Linked DNA regions of Rhinolophus ferrumequinum. The protein of the gene in region 2 purifies or fractionates together with the protein of the main gene of each other region. This does not show direct contact. Links are inferred from orthologs where the notes say so. Each region holds a gene or a part of one and is shown on either strand. Other genes may lie near its edges.

Region 1 (14,823 bases), on a different chromosome or scaffold from region 2:
GGTCCAGTTGCCATTGCTAGTTGCAGGGGGCACAGCCCACTATCCCTTGTGGGAGTCGAACCAGCAACCTTGTGGTTGACAGCCGGCGCTCCAAACAACTGAGCCATCCGGGAGGCAGCTCAGCTCGAGGTGCCGAGCCGGCGCTCCAAACAACTGAGCCATCCGGGAGGCAGCTCAGCTCGAGGTGCCGAGGTGCGGTGTTCAATCTTAGTTGCAGGGGGCGGGGCCCACCATCCCTTGCGGGACTCGAGGACCTTGGCAACCTTGTGGTTGAGAGCCCACTGGCCCATGTGGGAATCGAACCGGCAGCCTTCGGAGTTAGGAGCATGGAGCTCCAACCACCTGAGACACCCGGCCGGTCCATGAATAGCTTTATAGCCCACTTGTTTGAATCAGGATCTAATGAGGTCCACTCTTGCATTTAGTTAATATGTTTCAACTTGTAACAGCCTATCTTTCCTCTTTTTTTTTCCTTCTTTTTCCTTGTTTAAGAACACAATGACGTGTCCTGTAGACATAATTTCCTCCGTTCTGGATTTGGCTGATCGCATCCGCCTCATACCATCAGCGTGTTCATCCATGGGGGGGGTGCAATGTTGAAAGGGGGGCTGGAGAAGGTTTCCTCGGGAGCAGACATCTACGCAGAGAGAGCCACGCAGTTAAATAAGGAAAGGGGGAGTTCCAGGCAGAGGGGACAAGGAGGGACAAAGCCCTGTGGCTTTCTTTCCCCAGGGATTCACAGCCTGCTACACGCCAGGCACTGTTGGAGGCACCAAGGACACCATCGGGAACCAGAATACTATGTCCCTGCTCTCCTTGGGACTGGAGACCTCAGTCACTGCCCTCCAGGGGCAGATGGCAGTGAGGAAGGCGGAGTATCCCCCCGCAGATAGCCTGCCTGCCGGCTCTGGGAGCTCCTGTACAGCTTTGGGTACATGGGGACATCATCTTGGCACACTGGTGAGTTATTGCCCGGCCTGCCCTCCACCTCTTCCAGGAAGCCAGTTAGAGCCCTGGATGCCAGCTGGTACCGACTGCCCTCTGCCAACTCCAAGTCGGGGGCTGCTGTTGGCCCGTCTGACATCCCCCCAGATGGGAATTCCCTGAGGGCTGGCCTCCTTCATGCCTCCATGGGTTGCTCCCATTACTGCCAGTCCTTCCTTGTAGCCCTTTGCTTATCCTGGGGATCAGACTCAGCATCACCTCCTCTGAGAAGCCTTCCTTGCTGCTCCCTCCATCTAGTTCCCATGCTCCCACAGGTCCCAGATCACCTCCTTTGGGTATCTTCCTCTGAGCCCCATTAAAAACTGCCCACTTATGCTTCTCATAGAGCCTCTGCCAACATGGCAGCCCGGCTTTCCATCCAGGATGTTTGGCCTTCTCAGTAATGGAGGTGGCAGTACCTGCCTGTGGACAGTGACCCAGTGTGGGAGTTTAGGTTGGTACAAAGGACATACCGTCCCAGGAAAACAGACTCTGAAGGTGCCCTGCCGTCCTTGTACCCTTTCTTCTCCCCATCCCTTCCCCAGGTTGGTGCAGTAGTCTCCTTGGACAGTCAGACCTTCCTACTGTACTGTAGGAACATATGAGCAAGGCTGGAAGGGACACTGTCCCCTCCATCCCAGACATGGGGCCAGGTCATGGATGAGGAAGGGTGAGACAGGCGTTGTTGCTGGGTTAGGATTTTGGAGAGTGTCTTAGTCCATTCAGGCTGCTATTACAAAATACCATAGACTCATGGCTTATCAACAACAGAAATTTCTTTCTCATAGTTCTGGAGGCTGGGAAGTCCAAGATCAAGGCGCTGGCAGATTCAGTGTCTGGTGAGGGCCCTCTTCCTGGTGTATAGAAGGCAGTCTTCCTATTGTGTCCACACATGATGGAAGGGGCAAGCAAGGGAGCTCTGTGAGGTTGCTTTTCTAAAAGCACTAATTCCGTTATGCCCATTAAGTCATATGGAGTCCTTGAGACCTAATCACCCCCAAAGGCCCCACCTCCTAATGCCATCACTTGGGGAATTAGGATCTCAACATGAATCTTGAGGGGATACACATTCAATCTATAGCATTATAGAAGACCCCATAGAGAGCAAAGAGTCCAGCTCCCCCTCATTGTACAGACAAGGGACCTGAAGCCCCAAGGGGGGAAGGGAATTACCTAATGGCTTATGTGATCCATTAGGGACAGAGCTGAGACCAGAATGGGCTCTCTTACTTCTGATCCACTGCTGTTCAGGGAAATGGAGTGGATATAGCAGAAAGCCTTAAAGGAAGACTGGGAGGCTGGGTAGAGTAGGCTAATAACAGCAGCCCACACTGAGCGCTGGCCATCCATCAGACTCGAAGTATGTTTCATATATTAACTCATTATAGCCTTGCAAATTATCCCCATTTGACAGTTGGGAAAATTAAGGTGGACAGAGGTTCAGAGGCTCGCCTAAGATCACGGAGCTAGTAAGAGGCAGCCTGGCTGGAGGCCCGTGGATAACGTTTGGTAGCCCCTTGTCACTGCCCGACTTCCCGCCTCTCACGGGTTCATTCCCCTATGCCCACTCCCCTAGCAGAGTGCCGAGCGTCTCTATTCTTTGCTTTCCTTGTCAGTAGACCGGGGGTAATAACTGCCTCCTGCTCACTGTAACTGATGATGTCTACACAGCTCGCAACTGCACGTGTGTTAGCAAAACCAGGAAGGGGAATGAGACCGGCAGTTCCTGTCCTTGTGGTGGTTGGGGAGGGAACACCGATAACAAACGTATTCTAGTCTATCAGTTCTAAGATGCACGTTTTTTCGCACTCTAGCATCTCTGGAACGTTCTAAATTCAAGACGGTATATGGCGATGGTGACAAAGCGCATGATGGAAATTCAGAGATGCCAAAAAAAAAAATAAGGCAAAGCTCCTCGAGACGGGAAGGTCTCTGACAAGTGAGAGGGCAGGAGTGGGTCTTGGCCCTCCTTGATCAGAGGCCAATTCTGGACCATTCACCCACCCCCTGGAGTGGCCTGTCCAGCATGAGCATTACTCCAACTCCACTGGTTGGGAGGGGAAAGATTGAGAAGAGTTTCGATGTTTCAGAGGGGAGAGAATAAGGATGTCTTTCTCTCCAGCATCCCTGCCTCCCTTTGCTTCTTTCCTCCCTTCCTGCCCACAAGGGTGGGTGGGGGGGGGGGGTGGGGTAGATTGCTACCCTCAGGCCCCTTCGCTGTGCTGGAGCTGGGAATCCCATAGCTCTGCCTTCCACGGTTCCAGTGGGCATCACAGCTGCCCTGGACCACTGGTCATGTTGGTTCCTTTCTACCTGGTCTGGAGCTGCGGTAGATGCCTTTATTTTTGTCTCTGTTTTGTTTTCAGTTGTTCAGGTTGGAAAGCTTGGAATTATCTTTAACTCCTCTCTCTCACAGCCCTCCAAACTAATCCATCAAAAAATCCTGTTGGCTCTACCTTCTGCATATAACTCAAATCCGACCCCTTCCCCTGCTGCTGCCCTCTCCAAGCCACTGTCATCTCACACTTGAATTATCGGAAAAGCCTCCTTCCTGGATTCCAGGCTTCTGCTCCTTCACTCTATTCTCAGCCCAGCAGCCAGTCAGATCACGTCACTGCAGAGACTCCCTATCTGACTCTCAGGGAATGCCACAGCAGTGGCCCTCCAGGCCTGGCCCCATATCACCTTTCTGCCCTCTACGCCTACTACTCTCCCCCTCGCTCACTCTGCTCCAGTCTCATTGGCCGCCTGATTCTTTAATGAGCCAGGCCCGCTCCTGCCTCAGGGCCCTTGCACTGGCTATACCCTCTTCCTGGAATGCTCTTCCTCCATATCTGCAGGGCTCACTCCCTCACCTCTTTCAAGTTTTTGCTCACATGTCACCTTCTCAGGGAGGCCTATATTGACCACCTTAATACTGCAATTTCTTTTCCACCCCTACACCCCAACAATTCTGATCCCCCTTATAGCTGCCTCTATATTTTTCCCATGGCATTTAATACTTACTATTTTGTTTGTTGTCTGTTTTTCCCACTTGAGATGTAAATTCTCCGAGGGTGGAGATCTTTGTCTATTTTGTTCACTGATATACCTAAAGAGCCTAGAACAGGGCCTTGCACATAGTAGGTGCTCAACAGAGATTTGTGGATGAATGAATTTGTAAATTAGAAAGGGGTAAATGTGTGGCAACATATAATTAATCTTTGAAGAGAACTAGGAGGTTTCAGGAATTTGAGAAGGTGATACTCGAACTGGATCTTTAAGTACACCTGGAAGCCTAGGTAGGTGGCTGGCTAATTGATCAACCTGAACAAAAAGCATGGAGGTGGCAGAGCTTGGTGGCAGGGCAGGAGCTGGGGGGAGGTGTCAACCAGTGATACCTAGCTGGAGAGGATATTAGCAAGATAAGTAGAGGCCAGATATGCAAAGCTTTGGATGCAGGCTAAAGGCTTTCCTACCTCCAGGAGCAGCTACAAAATTTGTGGGACCCAGTGCACGATGAAGATGCAGGACCCTTTTGGTAAAAATTTCAAGAGAGTGACAGCAGAGCATTAAATCAAGCGCAAGGCCCTTCTAAAAGTAGGCTCATGAAGCCAATCCTGCCTCTCCTACAAGGGAGCCTGTGAGAGCCTTCAAGAAAGACAGAGATGTAATTGGAGCTGGACTTTAGGAAGATTATTCTGGTGGGGTAGGTTGGAGGGAGTCTAGGCTGAGAGACCAGTTAGGCAGCCTTGTGTGGAGGGAGAGAGGAAGAGGAGGAGACAGGTGGGGTGGGGGTGGGGCTAAGAGGCAGAAGGCTGGGGTGAGAATGTGAATGAGTAGAAGCAGGGAGGTGGTAGAGTTTCTTTAGGCAGGAGCATGGGTCGGAGAAGACCCGAGTGCACCTTCCTTTGCTACTCCAACCCCTTCCTCTTTTCCCTTCTTTCCAGACCTAAGCCTTAGGAGTGAGATCCGCCACGAATCGGCAATGTGTCTCTCTTTGGCCACCAGAGGGCAGATCATTCTCATGGATTTTCAGGATTAATTTGGGGTGGGGGGTGTGGAATGGCCTCTGTCCTCACGTCTTCCTCCCTATCTCCCTAACCTCCTTCAGCGATTCTTCACCAAGTTCTTCCTCAATGGCTGAGTGCCTGAATGGAGCTGGTGCAGGGCATGGGGAGGTGTTCTGGAGTCCAGTGTATTTACTACAACTGTAGAGAGTACCTGTTGCCTTAGGAAGTACTTTCATACCACCCTCTCATTGCATCTGTCCGGCTCTGTATTTCTCTGGTTCACTTGGCCACGGGCTCTCTGCTCAAGATGCTATCGCTGGGAGTTAGAAGTCAAGTGTCAGAAGTCCAACCAGCACTTTTCCCCTCAATCCCTGGGGCCTCTCTGCTCCTGTACCTTTGGGGACTTGGTTGAACCGGGTCTCTGGCTCCTGTGGGAACCCTGGCTTCTGCCCACCTTAAGCTGTACTTGAGCCCTGGGGCAGGGGCAGGAAGGCAAGTTCCAACATGTCTGGAGTAAGATGGATGGGACAGCTTGGAGCCAGAGGAATCAGATCAGCCTACTGCTTTTCCCTGCTGAGACAATTTAGGGGGAAGTGAAGATTGGACCCAGGTTGCCAAATGGACTGTTGGATCAGAGGCTCTCCAAGGATGAGAGGGAACTCAGAGCGGACGAGTCCAAAGACCTCAGTTTATTGCTAGGGGAACTGAGTCCCGGGGAAGGAAAGGAACTTCTCCAGGTGCCCATTCTTTGTGCCACCCTGAGGAATTCTCATTGGCAACCAATGTCTGTTTTCCACGAGTTTCTTTGTCTTAGAAGGGATAACTCAAATGTGAATTAAGATGAGAACGTCTTTCCTGCCTTAGTTTGCAAGAATATTTTAAAAAGTACCTGGGAGGACTCAATATTACCGTGGTGTGATGTTGTTTTGTGCTATTTTGAACAATTAAGACTTTTTTTGGGGAAAAAAGGCAACTAGAATTAAAAGCTGTTATTTAGAATCTCATCACTGGAACAAAGGCATTGACTCGTTCAATACAGGGACATCTCGGAGCCTAAGCTCATGTGATGACGTTATGTGATTTTTCCAAGATCACACAGCATTTTCGTTCCACACACCGGGACCAGAATGCAGGGCTCAGGAGACCTTTGCAGTTGGGAACCACGGGCGCAGCCCTGGTGCTTGCCTGGGAGCTTGACAAGAAGCCAAGACAGACGGTGGCAAGTGATGAATAGTAGATGGACAGGTAATAGAGTAATGCTACATTTGACAGATGACACATTTTGATAGACAGTTTGGATGATAAACGAGATGGACTTTATGAGCTGACCGACAACGAACAGACACGCAGGTGGGAAGTTGGTTTAGAACCAAAGGATGCCAATGGCAGGGACGGCTAACGGCCTTATTTTCTATTTAGTTAAAGAATAACACGCTACCTGTTCAAGGTTTGAAAATATCCGAAATCTGACGGAAAGAAACGAAGTCAGACTCGGTACCACCCGAGGGAATGACCCGGGACTCGCCCGGCCTCGGGTGTTGCCGGAAATGGCCGACGATTGCCGTCGGCTGCGGGACTGGGCGGGGCGGGGGCGTGGCCGGCTCCCCGCACGCGGAGCGGCTTCGGGTGTTTCCGGAAACTGCCGAGAACCAGCTTGAAGTGGGCGGGGAAAGGCCTGTGGGCGGGGCTGGAGTACCCGTAGTCGCTTCGTGTATTTCCGAAAACAGAGCCGAAGCTTGGTCTTCACAATCGAGGAGGCGCGCGCATCCCTGGAGGTTACCTTCTTCGGGTGTTTCTGGAATTCAACCCATAGTCGGTGGCCAGGAGGAGGAGGCGCGGCCCCCTCCCGTTCCTGGCCGCTTCGGATATTTCCGGCTGCTGCCGGCGGAAAGAGCCGAGGGCCGGCGGTGGTGGCGGCCATGTTGGGAGCAGCAGGTCCGGCGGCGGCTGCCTGTGTGCCGGGCGCGGAGCAGTGCCGCTGAGGGCAGGGGAGGAGCGAGGCAGGCGGCCGGCTGCGGCGGCAGAGAGTAGGCGGAGCGGCGCGGCCCGGCCGAAAGGCGGCACAGCCCAGCCGGGGGTCGGGGGGGTGCGGTCCGGAGCCGCTCGGAGCCGGCGCGGCCTAGCCCGAGCGGCGCATCCCCGGGCTGGCGTGAGCGGCTGCCCGGCCTCCCCGCACCCCCGGCCGGGGCCCATGCGGCGGGTGCCCCTGCTGTGAGAAACCCCGCCCGGCCGGGCTCCGCGCCTTCCCTTCCCTCCCTTCCTCCAAGCTTCTCGGTTCCCTCCCCTGAGATACCGGCGCCATGTCCAGCGCCCGGACCCCCCTACCCACGCTGAACGAGAGGGACACGGAGCAGGTAAGGAGCCCCGATGGCTCCCCGAATTCTCTGGCTGGGCCCCTGCACCTTGCAGAGCCTCCTCCCTCTCTGCTCTCCTCGTGCCCCTGCTGCTATCCTGCAAGCCTCGGCTTCCCTGTCATCGGGCTCTCGGCTCCGCACATCCTCCTCCGAGTCCTGTCCTAGGACCCACCTCGTCCTGACTCCACGCTGCACACTTGTCTTTCTGCTGGCCCCCCCTTCTCCCTTTACCGCCCTCCCGCGCTCTTCCGTGTTACCTCCCCAGCTTCCCCTTCTCTTCCCTTTTTCTCTCGGGCCTTTCTGGTCTTCCTCCACCCACGCTTCAAGCAGCCACCCTCCTCCTCAAATAGTACCCAGCGATTTGCCCCAGATGGTTGTCCACGTCTTCTTACATCTCTTTACCCTTTTCTCCTCCGCCCGCACCGGTTCTCCCAGTCCCTGGTCATCACCCTCAGGGTCCTTGCCCCGGACTGTGTTCTCGGTCTCTGTTCCCTTCCAGTTCCCCAGCTTTTTTTACCCTGCTTGTTCCTTCTCCAAATTGTGTTCTCCCTCTTGCTTGCAACCCACCAGCTCCACCCTCATCACCTTTCCAAATCGTTCGCCTACTCTTTGCTCATCACTTTCCCTTCTTTTCAACAGGAGCTCCCTGGTGCCTCGCGCTGGCATTTGTTGCTTCCGTGTTTCCCATACAGCTGTCATGCGCATAGTTTTCCCACAGGTTGTCTTTGGGGTTCCAGCCTTCACTCCCTTCAGTCTTTGCATCCTTCATGTTCTCTTCCCCTGGCTTTGTCTTTTAAGTCTCTTGGCCTTCTGTTTGTCACTGTGAGTGCTTTGCCAGCCTTCTCCCTGGGCTTTTCCTACTAAGGGAAACACACTACTATTTCTTCCCACTCCATTATCACAACCTGTTGCTGGGTCCTTTCCCAGGTCTCGCTACATCACCCTCCTTGCCTGTCTTCTTACACTGCAACGCAAACCATGATGCCTGCTTGTCTGTCCACTCCTGGGTCTGTCACTTTTCATAGTATCTTCCTCCTTGCTTGTTCCCTTCTGATTTCTCTACCCCATCTTCCTTACTGTGCCTCTTAATCAGGATTGCCTCTCAGCTCCATATTAGTCTCCCGTCTTCTTCACGTCGTATTTATTTTCCCCCATATGCCCCTATCCATTCCCTTCCTATTGACTAGTCTTTGTAACTTCCCATCCAGGCATTTTGCATGCGAGCTTCTCAGTCCCCCTCATCTTAACAAATCACTGCTATGGTTTGGCACCCAAGCCTAAGCCTTTTTTATGTCATCTCACCTCTGAACTGAGAGACGTCCACCTTCCACCCCTCCCCTTTCTTTCACCATCTCCAGTGTCCCTTGCTGACTGCTTTGTGGAGTGTTCCCTGCCTGTCACACCCTCCTTGGTGGAGAACTTTACTAGGCCAAAAAAACTTAACTTGAGAAAGGAGCCCTTCTCCCCTGGGGCTGCAGTGCTTTTTTGCATCCTTTTACCTCATTATATCCTTTATGTTTTCCTCTTGTTCCTTTTGTATCTTTGTAGCCCAATGGAACTGTTGCTATATTCGCTTGCATGTTAACATCCTTCTCTGAAAAATCTTCCCTCTTTCCATCATTCCTAAGTTTTCCTTTTTTATTACTCCCCCCTGCCCCCCTTGCTTTCTGTCACCTGGGCAGTCAGGAACTCAGGAGGAGTTCTGGACTGAGTGTTTCTGTGCAGTGGTTGACCCTTTCGTTACTGATGGGTTGATTGCTTCTGGAAGTGAAGCCGGGGTTGAGAGGGAGGGAGGGATGATTTCCATTGTGTCCCCGGGTTTGGGTGCTGGTTCTGCATGGGCTGGGACTGAGGGCTTCACAAACGGGAGCGCCTCGCTCTCCAGCTGTTTCTCTCCTGACTGAGAACCACTTTCTCTAGGCCCTCTTGAGGTTGCCTGTTCCATTTCTTTTCCTATCACAACCTTTGTTTTAGCAGGTAAACCCTGCTTAACCAGAGAACTTTTCCCAGACTGCTGATTATGAGCTGGTAGGAGGAGGCCAAGGGACTGACTGGCTGGCACCTTGCTGCATTTGGGGAGTGGCAGTGGATGCCTGCTCCCCGCGAGGCTGTGGGGGGCATTGTGTTGAGCAGAGTAGAGTAACAGACCGCCTCAATGTGGTTCCTTTGTGCTGTCTGCTAAATGTAAATGTATTCTTGCCATGGTCTTTTCTAGTGATGTGCGTGTTGATTTCTTCTCTCCCTACATGCCTAGCATACTGCTGAGCATGGTGGGAACTCGGCACACACCCACTGGTTTTATGATGGCCGGAATCAGTGAACCATTTGGGAGTGGAAGCTGTTCTTTGATAACTTTGTCCGGAGCCGTGGCTGCATGCAGTGCCATCCCGTTCCAAATTATGAATTATCCCATTTCTGCTCTTGATGAACTTAAGTTCTCCTGAACCACTTCCTAGCTTCTGCTCTTCTCATGGTAGCCAGTCTCACTATTGACTTGATATTAAGTCTCATCCTAGTAAAAGCGTGGACTTTGGGAAACCTCGGATACACCTATTACAGTCAGGTGCCTGTATGTTTAAAAACAAGAAGAAAGACAAGTAGCATCTCCTTGGGTCCCAAGACCAGGGATGCCGGAAGCATCACTTCCTTTAGAATTGATCATGCCCTCAGATGAGAGAGCAAAAACAGCTCTTCTGTTGGGATTCTAACTAAGTAGTCCTGGAAGCTCAGTCATTGCAGCAAGCCTTTATGCTATGAAACAAAAAGCAGAAAAGCAAGGGATTTGGTTGGGCTGATTCCTGCCCCCCCAGAGGTCCTCTATCACCTTATTTAGATTTAAATTATTTAAATTGGTGTCACTGGAAAATAGATAAACAAACCCCACTGGTTGTCTTCAAGCTCCAGTCTCCTTTTGCTCTTCCTCTCCTCCAGTCTTTAAAACATGTGGCTGATGAGAAGCTGTTTCCAGGAGCTCTTTGATCACATCTGAACTAAACACACACAAACATACAAAGAAAATGTTGAAGCATAAAAGTAAACCTTGTGTTGTTGCAGGGGGGTTGCCTGTTTGCTATGGACTCTGCTTCTGACAGTGAAAGTAGGAGATAAAAGAAAGTCAGCTCTGTCTTTAAGATGATTTTTGTGACACCTGGTTTCAGATGTGCTTTATCACAGCCAGACTCTTCTTCCCTCTTCCTTTTGCAGAAGGAAGATTGTAACCAGGGGCTGGTAGTTTGGGGGATTCTTAATCTGTGAGCTGAGCTTTCTGTTCACTTTTCCAAATGGCTCTTCTGGCCTGGAGGCTTGGCAGTGGGGAGTTGCAATCAGCAAGATGACTGTTTTCCAGCCAGCAGCAGCAAATAGGCAAATGTGGAAAGGGATCCAACTTCGAGAGTTTACCTGCCGCTGCCTACAGCTGTCTGTAACACCTGGTAGAGGGGCTACATGGCTTCAGGCCTGCCCCATGTCTGGCCTAAGGAGCCATCAGAAAGGGCTCCCAAGAGAAAACAGGAGCCTTTCATAACCCCCCCCACACACACACACACTTCTGCTACAGTGGGCTAGGGAGGGCGTTGCTGTCATTCTTCTGGCAAGTGAGTGCCATTGTTCATTCTCTCAGCTAGATCTGGGAAGAGGAGTTTGGATGTCTGGGTGAAGAGGAAATCTAACATATAGGATCCTGTAAAGAACAACTGAGCCACTCCAAACACATGTATCGCTTGGCTCCCAGGGTTGGTTCTGGCTGAATGTAGGACTGCATAATTGGTTTTAGTGTCATCTCGTGAAGAGCTCGGTTAACTCTCATTTCTCTCCATGCCCTGTGAGTTGTGCGGCACCGGGCTCTGGGTGCTGCTGACTCTGACCTCTGCCCTTTGGCTCTGGCCAGGGGCTCCTTATTGGTGCTGCCTTCTGGTCAAGAATGTGGCTGAATATCAGACCATATACAGTGGTACCTCTGTTTTCGAACGTACTCCGTTCCAGAAGACCGTTCGGGTTCTGAAACGTCCGAAAACAGCCGACAGCTAGGCCTCAGGATCTTGCACTCAGCAGAAGCCGCGTGACATGTTCGACTTCCGAGGCATGTTCAAAAACCGAAGCATTTATTTCTGGGTTTGCGGTGTTCCTAAACTGAAATGTTCGTCAACGGAGACGTTCGAAAACCGAGGTACTATTGTATTCTCATTTTCTGCTTGGCTCTAGAAATCAGGAATGAGATATTATTAGAGTAAGGGCTTTAGGAGTACCTGGAGTTCACAGAATTGCCATACCATGACCTTTGAACCCCAGTAAAGGTAACTGCCGAGTAAATTGTAATAATTTCTCAGTAATCTGTGGATTTGGGGAAGGAGTTAAACAGATGGATACACGGCAGTCATTGAAACGTGGCCTGCCTCAGATTAAAATCAAGTTTGCATAGAGATAACTGAATTTTTCCAATGGTGACCAAAGATTGGGCCTGAGATTTTTTTTTTCAGTGTAAATGTCTTAAGCAGAGTTGATGCCTGTGAGGCAGGAAAAGGTTGAGAATTTGTCTGACTGCGAGGCTGGTGTGGTTAGGTCTCTTGGGAGTCGAAGGCTTCTCAGACTAGACTTCTTCCCTTTTGAACAGAACAACCCAATTGTCAGTAGCCCCTTGACCAGTACAAACCCATGCCTTCAGGAATTCTTCCCATTGAGCACTTAGCCACCTGGCTGGCTACTCCCTCCTCCCAGGAGCTTCCGTGACTTTCCTACATATATATTACGTCGACTTGAATGAATATTTTATGCCCAGAGTGCAGCCAGGCCTCAGACTTTGTGGCCCATTATCGACAAGCGGGATGGGGGCTGGGCGCCACCTTTGGCCCCCTGATTGCGTCTCCGCTTAAATGGACTCCCCAGCAGCACTTTGAAGCCCATTAATGGATTGGGGTGAAGTAACCTCAGCAGATGGAAAGGGCAAAGAGGGTGGTGGTCCTTCCTTCCCTGAGACTGCCTGATGAGGCTTTCCTGTGGAAGCCAGGCCCAGCCCCAAGCCCCTCTGCTTGGTTAAGCTGTAGACAGACTATGGCTACTAGGCCTCTGCTTTGAGAGGAGGTGTGGAGAGTGTTTCATTTTCTCTTAGCTGTGGTGGTGCTGCCAGGTTTGCCACTTGCCTGTCAAAGCAAAAATTGAGAGGGATGTGGACGGGGTGGGTGGAGTTTAAACCTGGCCCTTTCTCCTTCAGCGGAAGTTCAGCAAAATGACAAACCAGATAGTGGCTGAGTTTTCTTCTCTTGATGGGAGATTCCAGCATTTGTACATTTTGCACTTAAAGCTGGGATTCTCCAGGCTTTCTCCCAGCCTTCATCAAACACGGGTGAGTCACTGAAGTGTTATCTATGCATTTTCCGCTTCTGTCTCAGCAAAGGGAAGAGTAAGCCTTTACAAACCTTGGGGTGGAGGACACCACCCATGTCCCACTTCTGGCGTGGGAAGAGACCACCCATCCCGTGTCAAATCTGGCGCTTAGAGCAGTGTCACTACCCCCCCACAACCCGCTGCACGTCCGTCACTGCTGTCTTTTAGGCTTTGAGATGGTGCTCTGATTCTGAAACAGCAGCAGGAAAGAATCTGGCCTCTTGGTTTCTAGCTCTCTCTCAGCTCTTGCCCACTAGACCTACTCCTCCTTTTGGGGGGATAGATAGGCTCTATCCCTTCATGTGAATGAATGTTTTTGCCTAGAGTGTTGGAAGTTTCTGGGGTCCTGTGGGGAATTCTTTCTACAGATTTCTGTCGTTGGGTTGGCATTCATTTCCCTTTACATCTGTTTATTTCTTACATTTCTCATTAGAAAATGGTAAAAAGGGCAAAAACAAATGCATTTCTCTTTCTGTCCCATATGATTAATTTTAGGCTTATAAAGCCATATAATCACAAGGTTTGATAGGAGAGAGGGTGAGATGGACGCTGATACTGGTGGCTTGGTGAATCCTGTGGGACGGTGGGGTGGGGGTGGGGGGGGAGAGAGAGAAGAGGAGGGGTGTGTTCAATGGCTGGCTCCAAGCCACCTTTTTCTTTTTAACATAAGGAAGGCGGAGCAGACCTGAGGCTTCTCTGTAGAACCAGTCAAGCTGGTTTTGAGCAGCCTCGGCCTATTTTCCTCTGTTCTTTGGGAAATGGGCAATACAAAGGTCCGCCTCCTCTGGGGCTCTGCTCATTGAGGCATGAGTTTGGACGATGTCTGTAAACAACCCCCTCCCCCCAGTACTGAATGGGTCTGAGCTGGGCCTCTCCACGTGAGTGGGCTTTCTCTACACCCCGTGCACCTCAAGGTAACTTTGTTTTACACACCTTTCACCGGAAGCTCAAAGATACAACTCTTTCTCTCGAGTCCCCTTTGCAATACATAGGTTGGCAAAAGCCCCTCAGCCTGGCCAGGAGGGAGGGACTGGGTCTGTGATTTTTCTCCCCATCGGTGGACCTGGAAGGGAATCTGGACTCCTGACTGCTGGCTGTCTTGATCTGCCTGCTAAATCCAGTGACACCCCAGACCTTGTGGCTTGGTGCAGTGAGACTGTCTGTCTGTCCAGGCCTGCTGGGGAAGAAGAAGGGGAGAGAACTCTAGTAGTTTTCGGTCTTTGGCAGCTCAGCAGGTACTTCAGCCACAGGGAACAGTTTGAGTTTGTCCCTATCAGGGTACCTGTAGGAAAGGTGGACGCCATCAGTCACCATACGCTGGCACTTCTTGAACAGCAGTAGGGAAAAGACACAGCAGGACTCTGAGGCTCCTGGACCATCAGCACTGATGGAGCAGGATTGTTTTCCCGTCAGTCTCCTACTGAGCAGAAAACTCCCCAGTCTGAACGTTTGGTAGTGAATGAATGAGTGAGGCCGCCTCCCTACAGCCTCATCCGCTGGCCTCGGCCTGCGGGGCAGGCTGCCCCCTTGCTACTACAGTGATCTACTCATTGCTTCTCCGGAGCACCGTTTCACTGCGGGTTTTGTTTTGGTGACTGATAATCCTGTATGCAGGGTGGCCCCCTTTTTCCTCCACCTTTTTTAGACCCAACGGTCTGTCGGCCTTCCCTTACCCTGTCACTTCTCCTCCTCCCCTCCACAGATGGCCATCATTTGACTGTTTTTGCATGTAGTGTTGGAAGCACTTGTGGCTTGTTGCTTTGTTTTTTGCCCACAAGAGTTTGAATTACTGGTTCTCCAGTCACAGGAAGTGGGGCCCCTTAGGCCCTCTTGGTCTGCGTAGCTTCTGATTGAGTTGAACTTATGGCAGAGTTGAATGGAGATCCCAGCACTCACTTTTGGACATTAATAAGTGGTTTTGTTGTGGTTAGAGCAGGCTTTGCCGCTTGATTCCCTGTACTGGAATCTTGGGTCAGCCCCTACTGTGACTTTAGGCTTACCTGATGGTTCTAGGCATGTTTGCTCATCTGTAAAAAAAAAAAAAAAAAGGAGTAATAATAGTACTTATCTTAGAGATGTAGTTTTTGTGAGTACTAAAAGAGTTCATGAATATA
Region 2 (14,802 bases):
AAAACCTCTGTGAAGATAACTTTAGCCACAAGTGCAAAATAAAAACCATACCCATGGTTTCTTAGTATAAGTGATGAAAACTCTTGATCATACTGATAATTTTATTCAAGTCTTAATCTCCTTTCAACTACCCAAAATCAATTAGTAGTTCTATTTTAATAACCCCTCTTTAAATAGACCCAATTTGAACAGTAGGAGGAGTCATCTGGCTACTGTTGTAATAATTCCATCTTCTGGGAGTTATAGAAAGAAACTGTTGTCTGCTGTAATACACAAATAATCCACCTCATTTCCCTCCGGACAATGGAAATGTTCTCTGCAGAGCCCCAGCTGTAGCTAAGAAGGTGCAGGGGCTGCTAACCATTGTTTACCAAGTGACAATTCACTCAGCAGCTGACGGGCTGTTTGCCCTATTCTGCATGATGTTGCCACCTAAGATTATTACAGCCTGTTCTTTCACAGGCTGAATCAAGAATGGATGTAGAAAGTGGAACGTCGGGGAAGAACAGGAATGCTGTCCACTTTAACCCTTCGAAAAGAAAGGGAGGAGGAGCAGGGGCCAGAGGAGAGAAGGAGGAGCTGAAGCACTTCAGAACTGCTTGGTCTTACCTCACAGTGCCCTCTCTCTCTGGGCCACATTGAGAGCCTGGAATCCAGGCAGCCAAATTTAACACAAACATGTCAGAGCCTGAAACTCAAGAGAGGACCGCAAGTGAGGAACAGGATGGTAAGGTTGGTTTAGTGGTGATGCACTGCATCTTATAAAACCATAAAGACCTTCCCAATGATCTCCCTTAGGAAATCACTCCTCTCAAAGAGTCCAATCAATGTTACCTGCCCTTGTAGGTAGCACTGACTTCTTTTGTTTTAACCAAAAATAAGTCTTATGAAATAACCGAGAAAGCAGAGCAAAAAATAAATAAATAAATAAAAGCAGCAGCCCTTCCCTACACCAACCCTCAGCCATCCTACAAAAAGTCAGCACTCAGGAGTACACCATTTGGGAGCAAGGGCTGGGGGTGATGGGAGTGCCATCACCAGTAATGGGAAAAGCCTTTTCAAAACAGGCCTATAAACTCAAAGTGATTAGATCCTTCTGAAAAGCCTGTGGAAACAGAGAACATAATTAATATGTTGTTCACAATGAGCACTAAGGCTTGTCTGATTGTCTCAGAACACTTGAGCAAAACACAGCGGTGGCAGGCAGGATACACACCAGCCACATTCTGTGGAAGTCCTCTTCATTAAGAAACGTGCCTGGGTTTGGTTTGAGAAAAAAGCAAAGGACTTTGGGTAACTGAGCTCAACTGTTCACCTAAATTTCTGAATACTTCCAAATATATCCAAGTTCATCAGAGATAAAGGGCAAACAAACGAGTGCTTTTCTGTGCTTTATGCAAAATGCCCACTACTTGGATTGAGGAATTTTTGCATTTTTCATTGAGTCACCTTGATGCCCTTTGATGAAGGCAGAGAAGGAATAGAAAGTAGGGCCAGAGATGGCCCCATACTGCACTTCTCTGTTGACATTTGCTGTTTTTTAAAAAATACAGCAGTCTGGCTAAAAACCCAGAGAACTCCACTTGAATTTCCCGACCAATAAGACATTCTCCTATGGTTTTGCATGCCTTGTTTTTCTGCTCGATTACCCCTTGGCCATTCTAGTTTAGAAGGTATGACAGTCTTATACAGTAATGATGACAAAACTGTGAACGTTACACTAAACGTGCTCACAATCCTCCAGAATATATCAAAGTAAAATTTCTGGGCTCAGTCTCTTCTTGTTAGATAACATTTGAACAGAGGGATGCTCTATCCAATCGCCACAATACTGTGCAATATTCCCTAAGAAAGCAGTAGGTCAGGTCGACCCAGTGGGGTTGGAGCTCCGTGCTCGAACGCCAAAGTTGCAGGTTCAATTCCCACACAGGAGGTGAGCTGCGCCCTCTACAGCTAAGATTGTGAACAATGGCTCTCCCTGGAACTGGGCTGCTGTGAGCAGATGGATGTCGGCGTGAGCTGCCAAAGGCTGCTGTGTGCTGCCATGGGCTACCTACCATGTGCCACCGTGAGCGGCTGGTGGCCAGCGTGAGTGGCTGCCAGCTTGGCTGGCGAGAGCTGCAGTGATCTGCTGTGGGCGGCTGACCGGCAACCTGCGACCGACTGCCTGGGGGGGGAGGGAGGCGCAAGGCTCATGGTACCAGCATGGGTCAGGGAGCTGTGTCCCATACAACTAGACTGAGAAAGGGCAGCTTGAACCAGAGTGGGGGGTGGGGAGGGGAGGCGGAAAAAGGGTAAAAAAAAAAGAAAGCAGTAAGTCAAGAATGCACTTTCACCTACCATCTAAAAAAGTACCGCTAAGCAAAAAGATCAATAAAAAGAGAAGTTCTGACTTATAATGTACATGTTCTAAACACCACATGTGAGGGCATGCCTACAGCCTCTACCCCATGAGGTCATCTATGCTCCCCACCCAATTTTGCACAAGTGGCTGACCTTTAGAAAAGTCTACCAGGATTGTTGTTTCTTTCCCAAATCGAACTGTTTTAATTTAAGCTTTTGAATGACCAAACACATAACTCACACGTATATTTGTGATCGTTTATTTGTGATCATTCTTCTGGTCCCCTTCAGACCTCCTCTACCCATTTCTCTCTCCTGCTGTCAGAGGAATGGCTGGGAGATGGCCTCAGGCATAGTAAACAGTTGGCCATGACACTTGCTCCACAGGAAATGGCAACTGAACATTTCCCACAAATTAAACATTGCCAGTGATACTTATATGACCATTTGTACACAGGCTAGTGGAGAGATGTTCATTATGGCCCTTTCACCTAAAAAAAGAAAAACAGGCGCCCTAGGGAAGTTAAGCACTGGGGACATTTTGAGCTAATACGACTCTAAGGCAAGCAGCTTACTCTCAGAAAAGCAGCCTTGCTGGAAAGAGGTTGCAGCCTGGTGCAGTGAAAAGAGCAAAGGCTCTGGAGGCAGGGAACATGGAAGCTGTACCACTTATAAGCTGTATGACCTTGGGCAAGTCATTTACGTTTTCTGGGTCTCAGCATCCTTGTCTGTGAAATTGGGGTTATGATAAATATAACAACAATCATTCCCTATTTGTTGTGAAGATTCACTGAAATATCAAATTGACCAGATCAGCCTCCAGGGTCAGGCACCTATTTCATTCACTGAGAAACTAACAACATGAAAAGATAAAGCAAATAACCAGTTACCCAGAAATGAACCCTGAAATGATGTTGGACTGCTTACCTTAAGATCCAAGATGTAACGAGAAATATCTTTTCTCAAATAAAAAATTTTTTTTTTCTTCCTTAGCAGTCATGATTTGGATCAACATCAATCAGAAACAGTGGGTCATGGATTATGCTAAGAGTTGGGGTTACAAAACTGATCAAGATTATCTTTCTTGCTCTCAGGGAGTTTACCAAAGTGCTGCTTTCAGATAGAGTCCCACACAATATAGTTGCCCTTTCTCTTCAACACTTTTGAATTTCACTTTGTTGTCTATTATTACATAAGATTAGCAATGTACTATATACTAAATAGTAAATATATACTAAATACCCTGTTTCCCCGAAAATAAGACCTAGCCGAACAATCAGCTAGCTCTAATGCGTCTTTTGGAGCAAAAATTAATATAAGACCCAGTATTACATTATATTATATTATATTATATTATATTATATTATATTATATTATATTTATTATATATTATATTATACCGGGTCTTATAAGACCTGGTCTTATATTAATTTTTACTCTAAAAGACACATTAGAGCTGATTGTCTGGCTAGGTCTTATTTTCGGGAAAACACGCATCTCACTCCAAGTCCCAATCTATTCTCTTTTCTCTCTTTTCTCACGTTTCTCCTCTGTCCCACTGTTACCTTTCTATACAAGATAAAACATCTACTGGGCTCAGTTGGTCAGATAAAAGGTTTAGGAAACACTCAGCAGTTAACTGATTCCAGTTGAAACTGTGCACACCACCACCACTCACCATTAAAGCCCACACCCTTCGTCCCACCTACCAGAAACTGGGCCTCAATCAGGTAGGTTCAGCATTTGCTAACAAGTACACATCATAACACACTGATAAAGGAGAGCCACCCCAAATGGTTTGGGGGGGGATATATATTCTTAATAGAAACATAAATAGGTTTATACCACTGGAACTATTTACTAACCTGAGTATTACAATAAATTAAAACCGTTGCCCTCAATATAACCCCCCTTATTTTCTCTCAGGTCATCTTGTCTTGACTACCCCAACATTGGCTAAAACCCTCTGTTCTGCAGCGCCAGCCCTCCTCCTCCTCCGAGAAAAGATGGAGTCACATTGAGCGCCCGAAAGCTAACAAGACTCAGAGGCCATGGCTCGCAGGCCCTGCCGGGAAATACTGAGACCGGGTGGCAGAGGTTGCGATTCCCTCGAAAGTGCTGGCTGGCGTGTAGAGGGAATCAAGTGGCCTCTCCTGACTAGGAATAAACGGCTCGTGAACGCTTAGAGGCCTGAGCTTACAAACACTGTTGTCCCTAAACTAAACCTAGGCCACACTCAAAGGACCCCTGAACTTAAGGTTTATCATGGAAAGCTGCCTGTGCTTTCTGAACCCCGGAGGAAGACACAAGGCGCCTGGCTTTCGGTAAATGCGAGAAGCAGCAGGCTGGTGGGCACCATGGACCACCGCACACTCCGGAACTGACACACCTCCGTACGGAGCCGGGACCAGACCTTCTTGGCAGAAGATAACGCGCTCCCATAGGTGAGAGTGGGCACGTAAGGGGGGTCGGGGATCGATTGTGCATCCAAAACGTGATTATAACCACCTCTCCCCCAGCACGTCGACAAGGACAAAGGCCTCAGGCGAGAGAAGCAAAACTTTTAGAAACAAGAAAAGCTAAGTGGGTTGAGAATCTGCCCGGACCCACAGATCTTGTTGCTCCTTCCAAAACTTTTAGCTTAAGTTGCCAATGGCCAGTGTGTTCGGGAACAGGAAAATGAAAGGCAGAAAGGAGAAAGCACTTGTCAGGGCCAGGAAGGCGCGGCTCGTGGGTCCCTGCCCGCACCCAGCCCCTGAAGAGTCGCCTCCGGACACCCTCGGCAGCCGGCTGCTCACCTTGAGATAGTCGTTCTCCGAACGCAGCTCTTCCATCTCCCGCAGCAGTTCCTCTTCCTCCCCCGCCGGGACCTGCCGGGTCTGCTCCCCCGGGCCGACTTCCCTGGGGGTCCCGGGTGTCGCTCGTTCTGGGGGCGCGCGCCCCCCGGCATCCTCCGCTCCGCCCGGGCTGCTCCGACCTCCGAGGAAGGCTCCAGCGGCGGGAGGCGCGGTGAGGAGTGCGGGGTGCTCTGGGCTGCCTGGCGGCGCCCCTCGAGCTACAGGGCTCGTCGCGGGGGCTCCTCGCAGGGGTTCTCGGTCGCTGGAGCCCGTGCCGGACTCGGCGTCGCTGCTGGCAGCGGGGAGCAGACGCTGCTCGTCGGACAGAGGTTCCGAGGGGCAGTCCGAGAGGTCCGAGCTGCTGTCCGTGTGACTGATGCGCGAGCCAGGGGCAGGAAGGCTGCCCGAGGAGGTCACGGCGAGGATCACCGCTGGGACCGGGGCGGCGAGGGTCGGGGGACCGGCGGGGCGGGCTGGGGTCGCCCCGGAGCCTCGTTTGGCTTTGCGGCCGTTGGCTGCGATGGGCGGCGGCTCCGCCCCGACCAGAGGCGGAGGTTTCCCAGCCCGGGGCAGCGGCTCAGCGGGCCCTGCGCGCACTGCCTTCTTGGGGCCCGGAGCGACCTTGGCACCGCCAGCTGCCTTGGCCCCGGAGCCCGGCGGCGGCTTGTCCTTCGCTCCAGGGGTACCGCCGCTGCGCCTGGAGAGGCGGCCGGGCGCGGCCAAGGGCGCCGGCGAGGGCGGCGCCTTGCCCGCGAGGCTGGGCGAACGCGGGGCCGCGGACGCCGAGGATCGGCCGGAGGAGGTGGCGGCAGGGGCTGGGCTGGGCGCCGCTGGCCTGCCGTGCAGGTCCTTGAGGAATGGTCTGGCCGGCGAGGGTGCGCGGTGCAGCCGCCTCCGCTCCGCCAGGGGGTGAAGGTGGTGGCGGTAGTGTTGTCTGGGCTGCTGTGGTTTCGCGTCCGGGGCGCCACCGCCTGCGGGGCCATTCAGCGTCTCCATGGCCAGGGCCGGGACCGTGAGCAGCAGTTTGGGTGGAAGATGCTCCGCGTAGCGGCGGCAGTGTGCAATCTCCCCGCGCGCTCGCTCATCACTGTCCCCCAGTCCCGCCCGGTCTGCGCCCCGCGCTCCCGCGCTCCCGCGCTGCCGCCCGCCCTCCCCCCCCCGCACCCCTGGCCCCGAGGATCCCGCGGGGCTCGCTGTCGTCGTCGCCTCGCTCTCCCCTTGCTGAGGTCACAGCTGCCCGAGTTCTCCCGGCACAGCAGCGCAGCAGCTCCCTACCGCTCGCATCCCCTGGACGCTGCGCTCCAGGCTCGCGGGTGCGCTGCCGCGGCCTTGCACACCCGCACTCGTCCCGCGGCAGCGCTGGAGGCGCGCTCCCAGCTCCCGCGTCCTGCTCCCCGCCCACGGCCGGCCGGCGCTCAGCAGCGGGCGCCCGCTCCGGCCCGCGCCCGCTCCCGGCGGAGAGAAACTGCACGCGCTTTCCCCCGCCTCCCGGCGCCCTGCGCCGGGCCGCCGGGTGCGCATGTCCCGCCTGCTGCCAGCAGGCGCTGGTGGTGGGGGAGGGAGGGCAGAAGGGCGGGGCCTCGCTACCCCAGGCTCGCTCGCGGGCTGCGTCCCTCAGCCCTCACTGCCTTGGGACCCTCCCTGCCTTTTGAGTGCCCAGAGGCAGTACCAGGTGCTGGGAAGGGAGGGCAGTAGGAGAGGTGAAGTGGGGGTGGGGGGGAAGGGTGCGGGCACTGGCCACTTGGGGGAGACTGGAGGTCCGGGAGTCGTGGGTGGGCCTCCCTGTGGTGTGTACCTTAGAGCGCCGCTTTCCCTCGGCTGACCAACCAGAGGACCCTCAATCCAACCCCTGCCTCCCAGAGCCCGTTAGTTCCCGCCACTGGTGTCCTCTCAACGCTATGCCGGTAGTCTCTCCACACTCCATTAAGGATTGCTGGTACCTGATGCAGCTATCGCGTCAAAACAGACACACTGCTCCACAGTTGGCAGGCACCCTCAGTGGCCTCCAGAGCTCAGAGAAGGGGGAGCTGCTGCAGAAACGGGAGAAGCAGCTGGCCAAGCTTGGGGTCAGAAAGGGAACTCACATTTATAGTGCCAGCAGCGAGCCAGGCACTGTTAGACACTTCACAGGTATTGTTTTATTTCATCCTCATAACAAGCCCGAATTGGAATTATGACTTCTGTAAGGATGAGAACACAGGCGCAGGGAGGTGCAGTTGGTGCATTAGCCAGTACTGGACTGAGCCGGGATTCACACTCATGTCTGTGGAATTCTCAGTCCTACATGCGATCCCCTCAGAGAACCAGGAGCTTGAGTACTGTGTCTGCCACTTGAGAGTCTAATGTGGGCCACTGACCTCTTTGGGACTCAGTTTCCCTCACCTGTATGGTTAGAAAATACTGACACCTGAGTGTTTGTGGGATTAACTGAGCAAATATGAGATAACACTGTGTAAACTGTAAAGTACTTTTCAAATACCATTGAGCACAGTTTTAGTCCTAGGCATAAGATGTTGGGCAATACTTAAATGAATAAGGCACAGCTTGTTGACAAGACTCGGCTTTGCTGGGAAGCTAAGGAGCAAGTAGGGGCAGTACGTGAGATGACGCAGGAGGGTGGGTGGGACCACATTTTTTTGCTGCGGATTTTGGGTATTTTCACCAGGAGGGGTGGGGTAGACGCGTTGGAGGATCGGGAGCATGACTGAACTTATTTGCTTAGAAAGATTCCACTGGCGGCAGGAGCAAGGGAAACCGGTGAGGGGAGCTGTGGCAGTAAGCACAAATGAGGAGCAGTGGTAGAGAAAAGGGGACAAATCTGTGAAAAGGAAAAACAGACTTCAAACTCTGTGATCTTAACCACAAAGTACTCTACTTAGCCACCTGCTTCAAAAAAAACGCATGATAAAGTGATTTTTTAAAAACCTCCTGTAAGTCAGGAGAGCCATACTCCCAGAAGACATCCGGTCAGCTTTCTCCTCAAATCCCCAAGGAGATGCCAGCCGCGGTCCTGTGACTGAACTCTGAGGACACTGAAACTTCGGTGCCCTGCTGCTGTCTTACGTTTTTTGTGAGTGGTTAATCTGGCAATTCCTGTCATTGTGTGACAGCACACACAACATATAATCTGTACTAAATTTCCTTTGATGCAAGATCTAATAAGACCACAGCCATATTTCGGGAGATTTTGGAGAAAAAAAGATCCTGGTGATGACAACACTGCAGAAAGGCTTTAAAGGTACCAGCCACCATGCCTGTCGTGACCAGCTCTCCCCTAGAGGGCGCTCAAACTCTCCCCTTCCGGCGACTGTCAGTTAATCAGAAAAGTGATAGCTGTCAGTCCCCAGAGCAGGACTCGCTGGAATTCAAGCTCCAGAACCTTCACCTAGAACTTCCTCCAGACACTCAGAAGTCTCGAACACCCTCACATTTCTGAAGAATTATGTCCAGGACTCTTAGCACAAGCTTGCCAGCTCCTCAGACCGTAGGTAATCATGTAAAAGGCCATCTTAAAAATGTTTCTGTAAATTTGTCTTCCAAAAAATATGAGCCAGATGATCACACTATTTATAGCCAGCTTACCTTTCCCTAGTGTAATAAGTCAAACAAAATTTGTACTCCTAATTACCCTGGTACCTGTTTCTGCTCGCCCTTGGCAAGGAGGTGTGCAATAATGTTTTCCTTGTTTTCCAATATTCGGTGAGGTGGTAGAATCCAATATTTCTGTAGGTGGTAGAAAAACATACCTGCTTGCATAACAGATGTTTTCAAAGTCACATGTGACTTAAAAAATTTCTGTTGTTCAGTCAAGTTAGTCTAAAGGCATTACGGGGGTGATTATTTAAAGGAGCCTTAAAATGTTTTATTCTGGGAAACAACAAAATCCAGTGTGGTTGTGTCTGTTAGGGTTTGTCTGCCCTCAGACCCATTCCTCGCCCTTCCCTGACTGCACTCTGTAGAGAGAGGAACAACCCCTAAAGGTTGGTTTTTCAGGTTCCTGGGTTTGCTGATTGGGTTGAGCCAGTGGGAGGTGCTGTCAGGAGACTGGAGTGTGTAACAGCAAGGGAGAAACCAGGGTATTTCTTCTCTCTTTGCCCCAAGGGGCCACTTCAGAGTGGCTGGGTGTCCTTTATGAACTGGCTTATTGGAGTTCCAGCTTTCACTGAATGACCTACTTTCTCTGATAACTTCGCCTCTTCCTGCTGCCTCTCAGTCAAGGGTGGCAGTGGCTTCCTGTGGTTGCAGATCTCTGGGTTACTTCACTGCCCGGTTTGCCTCTTGACTCCTCCCTGACCCCTGTAACCAGTTCCCTGCTTTTTAAGTCCTGTGTTGTTCCAATTTTCTCATTCTTCTGCAGAAGCCTAAGTACAGGCCCAGGAACTGTACGCAGCAGCATTGGTTTAAGAAGTAATTTGCTATGACGTACATTCCTGACTTCCTTGTCAAAGAGCAGTGTGGTATGGTTACAGGTGCTGAGGCTTTGACACCAGGTAAATAAGGTATGGGTTCAAATCCTGCCTGAGTCACTTGTATTCTTCATGGCCTTAGGTAAGGTACTATTATCAATATCATCATTATTGTTTAATATCAGTGGAATAATCTTCAATACTCTTTAAAATGTGAGCAAACCAAACTTGGAGAGCGAGTTAGAAATCTAGTCTGTATCTATACATTTATATAAAGAGAAATGATTTTTATTGTTTTTACTTGGTTTGACTCATAGAGGGAAAAAATATGATTTAGGACTACACTTCCCTTACTGCTCTGTACTCACAGGCAAAATTTCTACAACCTCAAAACCTTGTCCAAACCTAAGCATATAGCTATTTTCCAGTTTTATTTCCCTTAGCACAAAAGCACATTTAGAATATAAAATCATTCCTGATTTAAATCATAAGAAATCGTCTTCTTTGAAAAGAGTAGAAAGGAGGTATTTTTTTAAGAGAGTGGGCAATTATTTTGGTGCTTCAGGAAAGTTAGGGGTTTAAAAGAGACAACCTGAAGTCAGATGGCCCTCCTGAGGTTGAAGCTGATATATCTCACCCTGGGGGTGGGTGGGTGCCTCCAGCTCCTCTGGCAGGGTTACTGCCAAAATGCCATATGGGACCTGAAGCAGGCCAGTCCTACAAGGACCCACTGACCCCTCCTCATACCCAGATTGGCAGCTGTGCAAGGTGGTAATGGTGGTGGTGACTTCAGAGGCTCTTAAACCTGCGTACCTTAAAATCACCTGGTTAACTTGGTAACAATGCAGGTTCTATGGCCACATCTTTACACACAAAACAAGAATAGCTTTATATGGAAAGCAAAAATAGAGCAATGGATTTATAGAAGGTTCCATAGCAGACAGTGCTTATGAAATAAGTTTCCTGATTAATTCAGGAGATAGGACACTGTATAAGATCACACCTAAAAATACATTTTAATTATTATTTCTATGTAAAATTACTGTCAAGAGAATTTTACCATTGAGAAGATAAAACAATGTTGGTTCTATGCCTAGTCACAATGATTATTCACTAACTTGGACAAAATAGTTCAGTCTTCCTGGGCCTTCGAGGCCTCATCTATAAAATCAGGGTGTTGAACTTAAATAAGCTTTAATGTACGTCCCAGCTTAATGAATCTGAGGGTTGAAGTGAACTTGCAAGTGCCATTTTAATTATCAACCTTGGATTATTCATAGTAAATTGTAGGTCATCTCTGTTCATTCTCTAACAAAATACACTCAAAGAATATAAACGAATGTCAACAGAAGAATAGTATAATTAAGAAGGTTAATATGACAGAATAAGTGTGATAAATGTTATACATATTCCTGATTACCCTATAGGGGCAGACTCTTGAGAGTTAATCATGTTTTTTAAGTGGTCCTCAGTATTACTGCTTAGAATAAGCCCATTTCCTAGTTGCCTCTTTAAATATTGCCCACAGGGTCTAAGAATTTGAGAGCAGAAAGAGGCCTTAGAAAGCATTTGCAGTCCTCTCATTTGTCACCCCTGATTTAGGAACTCCCATCACTGGTATCCACAGGTTGTTATTCTGAAGCAGTCCTCTCTTCTATAAGGACTGCTTTCGGGTGATCACATATTTTATCATCAAGACTACAGAATATTTGAATGAAAGGGGTTACTATTAATAATTACATGAGACAACAGGCATGAACTGGACCTGGACAGGCAGCTCGGACTGTATGGTCACCTATGATTAATGTACATTCCTCAAGGTAAGACTGTCTCCTGACTGGATCTGACTGACTCATGTTTATATTCACTAAAAAGACATGAACTCTTTTCATTTTCTTTAACTCTTTTAAGTATAATTGAAATAGAAAACTTAAAGAATATCCATAGCCTATTTATCTACTCATTCATTTATACACTCATTCATTTAAAGATTATTTATTTATTGAACACCTTCTAAAATACTAGGTTATATATAAATATTGGGCATAGCAGGGATGAAAAATGTGTGGCATCAGACTTTATAGGATTTATAAGCTCATATAAAAAATTTTACGAACTGGTTATTCAGTGTTTCATTATATTGTTTTTCTTAGCTATAATACTTGTAATCCATTGAGAATTACACTAATATAAATTCCTCATGTATTTTCTTTCCAGTGAAGTGTAAACTTCATTTTTGTTGAAGAGTGTATGCTAAATCAATGTTATGTTCTCAAACCACTTCTTGAGAAGAAGGTACTGATTTGAAATTGTATCGTTTCCTTCAGAATGAAGTGCAATACATATATACATATATATATATATACACATATACATATATATATGTATATGTATATATATATATATATATATATATATATATATATATAGAGAGAGAGAGAGAGAGAGAGAGAGAGAGAGAGAGAGAGAGGAAACAAAACCAAAGCTGCCCCTGATATCCAGAGCTGGCCTCCACTCTCACTGAGGCCTCCATGTTCCTAGGATCTGGCCTGGCTCTCAAAGCTAAGCCTTGGCATTCTCCTGTTAAACATAAACAGTGTCACAGAACCTCAACATCAGACAAAGAGGCCACTCTGGGACTGTGATGGATCAAGACAAAAACAAGGCCACTCCATAGTCATGTCTGAACACAGATAAAATACAAACATTTTCTAAACCTCAGAAATAAGCAAACATCTCTCTCTCCCAGCTAATTTGAATGACTGCTGCTTCTTATCCATTACAATTTTAGCCTGGCTCCCATCGTCCCACCTTTTAGATAAGATTTATTAAGATCCCCAGTCATAGAATTACCCCTTCACTGAACCCTCCCCAATATCATCTAACACAAGTCCAAATTCCTGTCCTTTCTAACACCCTCTTATTGAGCGCTCTCATGGTGTCATTCTCCCTCACTGTCACGAGCAGTATACCCAACTAACTCCACCAGAGGTGTGTGTGTTCCCGGTGTGATGATAATTATGACTGTCAGCATAAGGCAAGGACTCAGGATGAAACTGAGTATAGCATCCATTCTGTTTTGCACATATATGAACATGTGAAAGATAGTTTTTGTACTTAAATGGGTCTTATTTCTCCTTGAAAAAGACTACATAAATATTAAAAAAGCATTATTGATATATTTAAAGGCCATATGTCTCTGAGCAAATAAACCTGCTTAATACTTGCCTAGATCAAGCCTACTTTGGAGATGACGCTGAATAGAAAGTCTTTAGCTCCATAAATTGCTTTTGTTCTACAGTGAAGCAAGGACCTTATCTTTTGCACCAACACAATGCCATTTTATAATCTAGGATACAGCTTTCAGCTATTTCCTGCACGCCTAAGTCCTCTCTGCCACGCGAGGGAATTGGTGTTTATTTCTATTTTCTCTGTAGGATGCTTCTGACGTATAATTAGGGAGCTACTAATGTGAGTCTGGAAATGTATCAAGTAATGAAAAACGAAATAATCATAGAAGCATAGAAAGAGGAGATAAAATAAAAAGTCATTTCTTATTCAACATCCAAACGTTCTTTGTTTCATTAACACAGTATTTGAAGGATATAACTGTTTTCATCCCTAAAAAGATAAGTGAGATAAAATGGAATGGCCATCTCCAAAAGTATAATTGCAAGTGTTCTGGAAGGGTGTTGTCTAGGCTGATGGCCATCTTTCAAGGATGCTATAAAGATTCTTATCTGGGCAAAGGGTTCTTTCTCAACTCTCAATCGTCATATTCTTGCACTTCTCTATACAGTGCAACCTTCTCTAGTCCAGAGCCACAGGGCAGTACAGAAATCTGCACACAGTAGGTAGTTAGTGTATCTTTGCCTGTTACATAGCTAATATAACTCACCAATGGAACAAGTAGGTGTCAAGAAGAACACAGCGAGGAATTTGCAGAATTGGAGAGAGCTGCAAAAGCTGCCATTGTTACTATAGTTTTCCTTCAGGTCTTTATTCTGAAGGATGACAAGACTAATACCTGTGCCATTACCTTGCATCTTTAATGTTCCGCATACTGCTAACATTCCAACATATTGTGTCCTCATACAATCATAAAAGTTGCCTTTCTTTCCTTGTTCCTACTCTTAAAAGTTTCTACAAATGTATCAAGTTCAAGAGTTTTTTTGTTTTTGTTTTTGTTTTATTGGGGGCGAGGGGCATGACACATGGCACAGCAAGCAGGATTTGGTGTCGGCCAAAACTCTCTGTACGGCAATGGAGCAGTTTATACGTATGAAAGCTCAGTTTCAGAAGGCCCATGAGAAGCTGCGCTGGAACGGGAGGCACAGTCTGCCTGGGCCATGTGTCATGCAGGGTGTCACGTGGGGTCTCAGCTCCTGCTCCCCACATAAGAACGCAGGATATGGTGAAGCCAAAAAGGAACACCCACGAAGCCATAGATAGGGGAGTCATACCACTATATTCTCGCTGGCAGCCAGGCGAGACACACAAAGTAGGATCCACACGATCTGCAATCTGCCAGCCGCTTTTCTGCCTGCCAAGCAACCAGAGTCATCATGGCAGTTACATCAGCAGCCAGTTGGCCAACCAGCTACAGCCAATGGCCAACCCTAATATGCAGGGGCCGGAAGATGAGCATTTTACAACTAGTATGAGAGATCTGGTTTTGGATACTGCCCCTGCAAGTGCTTTTGGATCATTGGTTGCCATTCTTATGCCCTATGTCGGGCAGTGGATCCATGAAGTTACTATTGCCATTGCCACCCTAGGTGATGTTGAAAGCCAACGGCAAAGGGAGTTAAGACAAGAGGTCCGAGAAATTAAGGCCTGGAAGCCCAAGTCAAAAGTAAGGGGGCGAGGTCGCAAGCCTCAGAAAGTAACACGCATGCAGATGTGGCATGATCTTGTGGCAGCAGGAGTCGATCAGGAGAAGATAGACCGACAACCCAATGCACTCTTGTTGGAACTTTGGAAATAGTTGTGTCCAGACCAGCAATTCTGGCGAAGCCTAAAGGAGAAGTCTGGGAAAGCGCAACCAGTGTCCCTCCAGGTCTTCATGAGGCCACTTGAGGCCGACTCCTTTCAGTTTGATTAGGGGTGGGGCCAAGGTACCCGGTCAGAGGGGACCAGCTAGGGACCAGAGGCCCCACGTGGAACTGTCCATATATTGGTCACCTTCTAATGTACAGAGGGCTTGACCATAGTTG

What was found.
Region 1: the proteins of MTCL1 (region 2) and MARK2 purify together in Homo sapiens (affinity purification with mass spectrometry; 5 studies listed by BioGRID and IntAct, with this or other methods). This does not show direct contact. The link is inferred for Rhinolophus ferrumequinum from reciprocal best matches to the Homo sapiens genes MTCL1 and MARK2.

What each region holds. Positions count from the first base shown.
Region 1 is NC_046294.1:7,479,313-7,494,135, reverse strand, and holds the start of MARK2 (serine/threonine-protein kinase MARK2), read left to right. Parts: upstream 1-7,197; 5' UTR 7,198-7,276; coding exon 7,277-7,330; intron 7,331-14,823. UniProt on the Homo sapiens protein: Serine/threonine-protein kinase. Involved in cell polarity and microtubule dynamics regulation. Phosphorylates CRTC2/TORC2, DCX, HDAC7, KIF13B, MAP2, MAP4 and RAB11FIP2. Phosphorylates the microtubule-associated protein MAPT/TAU.
Region 2 is NC_046302.1:9,198,612-9,213,413, forward strand, and holds the start of MTCL1 (microtubule cross-linking factor 1), read right to left. Parts: upstream 6,311-14,802; 5' UTR 6,177-6,310; coding exon 5,142-6,176; intron 1-5,141. UniProt on the Homo sapiens protein: Microtubule-associated factor involved in the late phase of epithelial polarization and microtubule dynamics regulation.